2 linked regions of the Arabidopsis thaliana genome follow. The protein of the gene in region 1 interacts with the protein of each later gene in a pairwise test. Each region holds a gene or a part of one and is shown on either strand. Other genes may lie near its edges.

What was found.
Region 2: the proteins of AT4G16450 (region 1) and NPSN13 interact in a protein complementation assay, tested with the Arabidopsis thaliana proteins (one large-scale study listed by BioGRID).

What each region holds. Positions count from the first base shown.
Region 1 is NC_003075.7:9,278,123-9,281,500, forward strand, and holds AT4G16450 (NADH-ubiquinone oxidoreductase), read left to right. Parts: upstream 1-1,786; 5' UTR 1,787-2,009; coding exon 2,010-2,163; intron 2,164-2,252; coding exon 2,253-2,419; 3' UTR 2,420-2,734; downstream 2,735-3,378. Other genes in the region: AT4G16447 (uncharacterized protein), read left to right, coding at 707-1,084; AT4G16451 (uncharacterized protein), read right to left, coding at 2,735-2,878.
Region 2 is NC_003074.8:5,968,752-5,974,478, reverse strand, and holds NPSN13 (Putative plant snare 13), read left to right. Parts: upstream 1-1,906; 5' UTR 1,907-2,188; coding exon 2,189-2,265; intron 2,266-2,480; coding exon 2,481-2,573; intron 2,574-2,804; coding exon 2,805-2,898; intron 2,899-3,213; coding exon 3,214-3,251; intron 3,252-3,410; coding exon 3,411-3,511; intron 3,512-3,841; coding exon 3,842-3,921; intron 3,922-4,003; coding exon 4,004-4,060; intron 4,061-4,135; coding exon 4,136-4,228; coding exon of another isoform or gene 4,229-4,232; intron 4,233-4,312; coding exon 4,313-4,387; intron 4,388-4,468; coding exon 4,469-4,570; 3' UTR 4,571-4,914; downstream 4,915-5,727. Other genes in the region: AT3G17450 (hAT dimerization domain-containing protein), read left to right, coding at 1-798, 888-971, 1,056-1,445, 1,531-1,686; AT3G17430 (Nucleotide-sugar transporter family protein), read right to left, coding at 5,517-5,675. UniProt on the Arabidopsis thaliana protein: Vesicle trafficking protein that functions in the secretory pathway.

The sequences.
Region 1 (3,378 bases):
TTTCTTGAATATAACAACATACGAATATGATCTTTGATTAGATTACTCTTTTATATATTATGGTTAGGCATGTCCTTGCAAGATTTTTGTATTTAACATATTGAAAATTTATCATTGAATTACAACTCTGTTATGCATACAATCAAATCAAACGTTTAAGAAGACCATCCCTTATATATATTTATATACACCCTATATTCTCGGGATGTAATAAAGTTTCCATTTCAAATAAAAAGAGCCCTTAAAGGGAGGTAAGTGGGGGGCATGAAAAAAGGGTTTATATATCTCAATAATCATCCAAACAAACCAATCCATGTGCTTCCCTTCAAACATTCTTCTTGTCATTTTCCTCCCAACCATTTTCTACTTTGGCCAACTTTTTTTCTTTTGCTTCTTAAAAATAAAAATAAAAATATGCAAATTTCCACTCACACATTATACATTCTCTTTTTACAATCCTTAGATTGTCACTTTTGCCTTCTTCCTCTTGTTCTCTTACCACTTTACTCCTGATTCTCTTCCTTTCGGAATTTCATCGAACTACTCAACAACCCTATATACTTTTATTGTTTTTAAAGTATTCTCATGCAGATTAAATAATAAGAAATAATATACACCTTTTTCCTCCTTATATAAATAGGCTCAACACACGTAACATGGCCCCAAACCCTAGCAAGACTCTCTCTAAGACTCATATCATTACGTCATGAGTTCAATAGCAAGAGACCGAAAGGAACAAATGGTGATCCATTCTTCAATCGTCTTGCTTCAAGAAAGATTCAGACAACTTCAGAGAGCAAGAGAGTTAAGAGCTGAACGAGAGCTCCTAAACCCTAAACCTAACCACCAAGACAACATCTTGCAATATTACAGCGAACCCACTAGTTTCGGTTTCTTTCAGTTTCTACCTATAAACTCTCAAACATCTTCGTCACAGCAGCTCCTATCCCTCTCCTTATGCTCACACTCCACCTCTGAATCCATTGAAAAGCCAAGCTTTTGTCATCAGTGGCCAAATAAAGATGACAAGAAGATGGGTGGGATTGATCGATACGACGATGTTGACACGTCTCTGCATCTCTAAAACTAAAATAATTGTTCCTCCATCTTTTTGAAGTTCTAATTAAATATGTATGTATATAGAGTTTGTTTTCGTCGGTATGCTCTTCTAAAGAGTCTTCTAGGTGGTGGTGATATATGTATGGTTAAAATGGCAATCATATATATTAATTATTTCGAAGTTAATGATTATGATATATTTTATATCACGATGATAAAGATCGATCTACTCATTGATTTATTGGTTATTCTTTTGTTGATGGTTAATTGGTTACTATATCATTCCTCAAGTCTTTGCTTATACGTATCCATGTAATGTTTAGCTTTTTATATATACGTAACTACTTCTACCTCAACTTCACCAACGAAGGCATGGTAAATAACTAAAGATGTCGGAGTGGTTAAGAAGACAGACTTGAAATTTGATTTCAGTTGGGCTCCGCTTGCGCATGTTGAAAACTCTGCTTTTGCAGCTTTGCTTCTTATTGTTTTTGACGATTTTTCTTAAAGATAGTAAATAATTGATCATACAAGTCGTGCCAAAAAATCGTCAATCAAAGTTCAAAACCTACTTGCATCGTATTTGATTCAGTACTCTTATATATGTGTCAGTAATAATTGAGATAGAGAAAGATAGAACTAAAATGTCGACACTCAATCATAGATAGATTTTTAAGAGAATAAAACTCGAGTACTATTCAATACTATATCGTGCATGTTGTTAGATCTGCTATTTTCGATCGTTTGGAGCTTGATTGACTTAAATGGGCTCATTCGGGTCTGTTATGAGAAAGCCCAACCAAGAAAGTTTATGGGTCAAAGAGAAAAGCCTCTAGACGAAAGAGAGGATCTCAGCTTCTGTTGAAATGAATATAACCTAGAAATTGATTTTGATCGGAAGAAGAAGAAAGAAGATAGAATCAGAGATTTGTAGATTTTATCGATCGAAGATGAATACTGACATCACTGCCTTGGAGAAGGCACAATACCCAGTGGTTGATCGGAATCCTGCTTTTACTAAAGTCGTCGGCAATTTCAGCACTCTCGATTACCTCCGTTTCTCTACTATCACCGGCATCTCCGTCACCGTCGGCTATCTCTCTGGTTCATCCACACACCTCTCTCTTGAAATTTCTGATTCTGTAGGTTGAGAATGTGCTGATTTGGTGTTTTTGGAAATGGCGATTTTGTAGGGATTAAGCCTGGGATTAAGGGACCGTCGATGGTTACTGGAGGATTGATCGGGCTCATGGGAGGTTTCATGTATGCGTACCAGAACTCTGCCGGTAGACTCATGGGGTTTTTCCCTAATGATGGTGAAGTTGCTAGTTACCAGAAGCGTGGTGGTTTCTCCAAATGAATGACTTTAGTGTTTTATTTTCTGGATCTGGCTTCATTTTGGAATTTGAAACCCTCTCTTTTTCTCTGTAATTTGATTGCATTTCTCTGCTGTTTGAGGATAATATGTGCCTCTGTTTGTCTGTTATGACTTGATGGTGATGATCAATAAGATTTGAGACAAGGAATTGTGGTGATAGATTTTTGTGATTGTGAGTGAGTGATGTTGCAATAAGGAATCTTTAGTGCTGCAATTAGACCAGTCTGATAGGTTTCTTTGTTGTATATGTATTGGTTTGTAGATAGATGAACCTAGGAGCAGCTGCATTCGAATCCCTCAGAGACACCTTGTCCTATAAAATGTTATTGGTGCTCCTTGTCTATCTAGCTTCTGGAATTTCCCTGCGACATTATTCTGTTGCAAAGCTATGTCGAGGTTATTGTGGTTTGGGCTGTAAATGATTGCTTCTAGGATTGCCATTTTATCCTAGAGGTGATTGGTGCACTCAAAGCAATCAGATTTTGTAGCTTCTCCTCTTGTGGTTCGTTGTTGTGCAGAGGATGCATGTATCAACAGGTAAAAGTTAGAGTCCATCTAATTTTGATTCGTTGAGAGGATAGATGGGCTTTGCCTTGGTGATGGAATATATGATCTTCCTAGTCCTCCTAATTCCGCCAATGTTTAGACGGGATGAGTTCATCGATAAAGTTGTCGTCATGGCTAGGACCTCTATGTCTAACACATTGATGCATCGCACATCTATTATAGTTTGATCTGCCTCTTAATTTCGTCTCAATTGCATTATTTTCATGCCTAGTTACTGCTTCCTCTCCTCACTTTCGACATAGTTGTTGTCTCGTGTGTTGCATATATAGAAATGGTAACATCGACGAAACTAAACTAGATAGGACCTTTAAATCTGGGCATTAAGTCAATAAAAGAAGCATGTCTCAATAGAGTTTTGACGACTCATTTTTTCT
Region 2 (5,727 bases), on another chromosome or scaffold:
TTCCACTCCTCGATTGATGCCACTGATATAGTAGAAGATGCTTTAAGCCTTTTCAAGTGTCTAGACAAACTAGTTGACGACATTGGCGAGGAAAATGTGGTGCAGGTTATTACACAGAACACTGCTATCTTTAGAAGTGCTGGAAAATTACTTGAAGAGAAGAGAAAGAATTTGTATTGGACTCCTTGTGCAATACATTGCACAGAACTGGTTCTTGAAGACTTCTCAAAGCTAGAATTTGTCTCCGAGTGCTTAGAGAAAGCCCAAAGAATCACAAGATTCATTTACAATCAAACATGGCTGCTTAATCTTATGAAGAACGAATTCACACAGGGACTAGATCTTCTTAGACCAGCAGTCATGCGCCACGCTTCCGGGTTCACCACTCTTCAAAGTCTTATGGACCACAAGGCCAGTCTCAGAGGTCTGTTTCAATCTGACGGCTGGATTTTGTCACAGACCGCCGCCAAGTCTGAAGAGGGAAGAGAAGTGGAGAAGATGGTGTTGAGTGCTGTGTTTTGGAAGAAGGTTCAGTATGTTTTGAAATCGGTTGATCCGGTGATGCAGGTGATTCACATGATCAATGATGGTGGCGATAGACTATCTATGCCATATGCTTACGGTTACATGTGCTGTGCGAAAATGGCGATCAAGTCTATTCATAGCGATGATGCAAGGAAATACGGACCGTTTTGGCGGGTGATAGAATACCGTTGGAACCCATTGTTTCATCATCCTCTCTATGTGGCTGCATATTTCTTCAACCCGGCATACAAATATCGTCCTGATTTTATGGCGGTAGGTATGATTATCATTCATTTGAATCAATGACTAAAAGCTTTCTGCCATTTTCCTTACATTTGCTGTAAATGTGAATGAATCTGCAGCAGTCTGAGGTTGTGCGTGGAGTTAACGAATGCATTGTTAGGCTTGAGCCTGATAACACGCGTAGAATCACAGCATTGATGCAGGTGAGACAAAAAACAAATCACCAAGTCACACACATTGTTCTCAGAACCTGAGGTTAAACCAACTTTTTGTTGAAATGTTTTCAGATTCCGGATTATACTTGTGCGAAAGCTGATTTTGGAACGGATATAGCCATTGGCACAAGAACAGAGCTTGATCCATCGGCGTGGTGGCAACAGCATGGGATAAGCTGTTTGGAACTCCAGCGAGTGGCGGTTCGGATACTGAGCCACACTTGCTCGTCTGTTGGGTGTGAGCCTAAGTGGAGCGTGTACGACCAAGTTAACAGTCAATGCCAGAGCCAATTTGGGAAAAAATCAACGAAAGATCTAACATACGTTCATTACAACTTACGGCTCAGAGAAAAACAGCTGAAGCAACGGCTACATTATGAGGATGAACCACCACCAACTCTTAACCACGCTTTGCTGGATCGGTTGCTCCCTGACTGGCTCGTAACATCCGAGAAGGAGGAGGTACTTAACTTACTTAAAGTGAGAAACGCTAAACGCCATTCCAGTGATTTTATAAAAGGCTAATAAATGTAGTTTATTGGTGAAGGAGGAGGCTTTGCACGGGGAAGACAGAGCAGAGAAGGAAGACCATGAAGACGATGAGGAAGAGGAGGAGAAGTTTTACATGGAATCTGGTAACGTTGACGGTGAAGGTGAAGACAACCTTGATCCTTACGATGATGATCTTAGTGACGATGATTAGTTAGTGCTACAATTCTAACGAAGTAACACTGTATTTTGAATTCTAGCATTGTATCCTTAAAATATTCGAAAAATATGAAAATTTTGTTGGCTAGAAGAATATAATCAAAGTATTATTAGGTGAAATTAGTGAAAGTGAAATAATTTATCTAACAACGGATATGGATGGGACCAAAAAGTTGGCGCCTCGCTGTCATTTTTTTAACTACCGAATATCTGTCTTTTTAATTTATTTATTAATCAATTTTGTTTTTAAAAAATATATATGTTTGAATAAAAAAGAAAAAAACAACACACACCTGACAGCTCTCTTTCCCTTTTCCCGTTCTTTGTCGTCCTTTGTTTCGTCTTTCATTCATTCTCCTTTGTGTTTTCTCTTTTTGGAGATTTTAACTTCAGTTTTTGTCTAATTAGGGTTTTAATTTAAATTGGAGGGAAATTTTAGATGCAGTGACGTAGTTTTTGGGTAAATTTTCGTCGGATTCTGAATTGTCTCCGGCGACATGGCTTCTAATCTCCCCATGAGCCCTCAATTGGAGCAGATCCATGGCGAAATCCGTGACCATTTCCGAGCCCTCGCGTATGTTTTACATGTTATCCTCTTGTTCAATTTTCTAACTATCTCTGTCGTGGTTACGAAACACTGTGATATATATTTTAGGGTTTTGGAATTTTTTGATTATGTGTGCTCAATAGGATTTATGCGTGTTTTGCTTAATGCTGATGATAAGAATTAGATTTAGTCATCACTCAAAAGATTGTTCTTTTAATGATTCACCATTATCTGTTTTGCAGGAATGGTTTCCAGAGGTTGGATAAGATTAAGGATTCAACTAGACAAAGCAAACAACTTGAAGAACTTACTGACAAGATGAGAGAGTGTAAAAGGTATACTTATTTCATAATTGCTATGCTTTACCATTATGTTCTCGGCGTTACAACATTGTTTGCTAATTGCCTTTAGTAGAATGTGCTCTTTGATCACTGTTATGCGTACTTCTTTTTCTTTGAGCTGGATACGATGCCGTATAATGAGAATTGAGAAGGAAAGAGTATTGATGTGACAAATCCATGATTCAATAATCTGTATTTGCTTGTCTAATGTGTACTTCATGTCAGATTGGTCAAAGAGTTCGACCGTGAACTCAAGGATGAGGAAGCTAGAAATTCTCCTGAAGTAAATAAGCAATTGAACGATGAGAAACAATCTATGGTGAGTTTTTATCCTTTGTTTATTAAATTCATTGAGGCCTTTCTTTGATTATACTACAATGTCATATGTATCTGAAGTAAATATGTGAATATTAACTCTTACTTGGCACCTTCGTAAAGTTCCATTATACAGCATCAGTCGTATTCAGTTTGGTCAATCTTTAGGTGTGTTTATAACCGAATGGATATATTAAGGTGGATATTGAGTGTCATTGTGTATCTATCACTCCCCTCTGTACTTTGTATCTGCTAACATTTTGTTTGTATGAACTTTTTAACATCTGTGTTTAACTTTTTCTTTTGTATAATGTTACAGATCAAGGAGCTCAATTCTTACGTTGCTCTAAGAAAAACGTTAGTATTTCTATCATTCCTCTTTAAGAAAGCTGATTATTTGAATCTCAACCTGTTCTTTTAGGGTTTTGATTTCATATCGATCCGTTCAGAATATCTATATAGGATTTCATTTGACTTTTATGTGTTCATACATGTGAAATTGGTCTTGAATCTCAGGTATATGAGTACCCTTGGCAACAAGAAAGTTGAGCTTTTTGATATGGGAGCTGGAGTTAGTGGCGAACCTACAGCTGAGGAAAATGTTCAAGTGGCTTCATGTGAGTCCTTATGCATTCTTGTCTTCAGTTGCCACCAAAATATGAGTTTGCTTAGAACAATTAGAGATTGACATGCTTGAAGTTTAGACTTTTTAATGCTATATGTACTTGAATATGTTGGATTGGTAACTAATGCTCTCTGGTTATTCGTCTGGCATAATTTGTGATGTCTGTCAGTAAATTTCTGGCAGATGGTAATATGGCACTAGAAATGTTATCGGTGGCCTAGATAATAGAAATGAATGATTCTGATAATTTGATTAGGCGCGAAGTATATTATATTGGGAATGTAAAAACTGATGAAGGCTTTTGTCATTTTATTATGTATAGCTATGTCAAACCAGGAGCTTGTTGATGCTGGAATGAAAAGAATGGATGAGACTGATCAGGCCATTGAGCGCTCAAAACAGGTAAGTTACAGAAGGAATTATGTTCCCCTTAGCCTTTGTTACTATATGAATATATCTATGGTAACATTCTTGTTCCTTTCAGGTTGTAGAACAAACACTCGAAGTTGGAACTCAAACTGCAGCTAATTTAAAGGGACAGGTAATGCAAATTATTCTCCTTTACTTCCATATTAATCTTATGAGTAGAGTCTTAAACAACCTGAAAATTTTGCAGACGGATCAAATGGGACGCGTAGTTAACCACTTGGACACTATTCAATTCTCAATCAAGAAGGCCTCCCAGCTGGTGAAAGAGATAGGGAGACAGGTGTGTAACCTCATATGGACATATGTAGATTTATCCTTTTTGGCTTGACCTCAAAACCTGAATGCTTATGTCTACTTATTTCAGGTGGCTACCGATAAATGCATAATGGGGTTCCTGTTTCTCATTGTATGCGGTGTAGTAGCCATAATCATAGTGAAGGTACTGTCTTTTCTCTCTCTGTTGAAAGTTGTGATTGCTCATTAGCAAGTTGTAACTCTGGTTTTTGTATTAATTCTTCAGATCGTGAATCCGAATAACAAAGACATTAGGGACATCCCAGGATTAGCTCCTCCAGCGCAATCGAGGAAGCTATTGTACTTGAGGAATCAAGACTACATGTGAGAATATAAATCTCTATTTGTATATTTATTCACGAGGAATGAGGAAATTGCATCTTGAGGTTCGATATTTCCTTCTAATTTGTTAACAATCCATTTCATGGATGTTAGAGAGAGGGTTTGTGCTTGTTGGCATTGTGTGCTTTGATAGTTGACGAGGCTTGGGGATGTTTATCTTCATGTTCTTTTACTTGTTTTAACCCATTCGTTTGAATCTGGGTTTGATTGGAGGGTGTGTATATTTTCAGCTTTTGTCTCTATTTCTTTTTCCTTCTTCTTTTTTGTAGCAACTTATCACTTCTTTTGTATAAAATTCAGACCAATGTTATACTCTCTCACGTTTTCATTAGATTCCTTTCTTCGTCCTACTGTAGAAAGTTTCATGACACAGCTGGAATTTCATTAGAAGAGTCCAAATGGTTATCACTTTCTGTAACTTGCTAATACGAAGAACGTGATGAAGAGTACTACTACATTTCTGACGTTAAGTATTTATGAAACTACTGACTGTATTCTCCTTTAATTCGTTTTGTTTCACCTTTCTATTACTGGAGAATCAATTACTACTCTTCCAATCAGAATTTACCTTGAAGACATTAATATTTTGTACCAATCAATCGAGTTCAAATATAAGAGATGCTGCTCAGAAGCCGGAACATAATTGAATCCAGGGTCGGCTGATGATGGAAAAAATTAAGACCACAAATATATAAATTTAACGTCAATTCACTACAAACGAATTTGAGACTTTTTAGTTTTCCAGCTAATCATTGGTAATAATCTCCGCTATTCTATCTCATAACAAATTTGGAATTTTTCACCTGACACACGAGGACACGGGTCTAGATGGTGCTGCAACTTCTTTGTTTGGTTTCAAAGATTTTTTTCTTCTAAGTAACAAAATAACGAATTGGGAAGCAAAATGTCTATTATACGTTTATACCGGCATCTTAAGCAGCGTGATTTCCGAGCTGCGTCCGACCAATATGAGACAACCGGGATGTGATCAAAGGGGCTTCCTCGTCGTTTACCTCTCCTCCTACTCTTGGGATCTCCACACTGTCGTTAGGATTGAATTTATCCGAAGACTTCTTCTCCATCTTGTACTCCTGTGTAATGTTTGTGTTCATCAGTTGTTACATTAGAAGGAAAAAAAAGGTA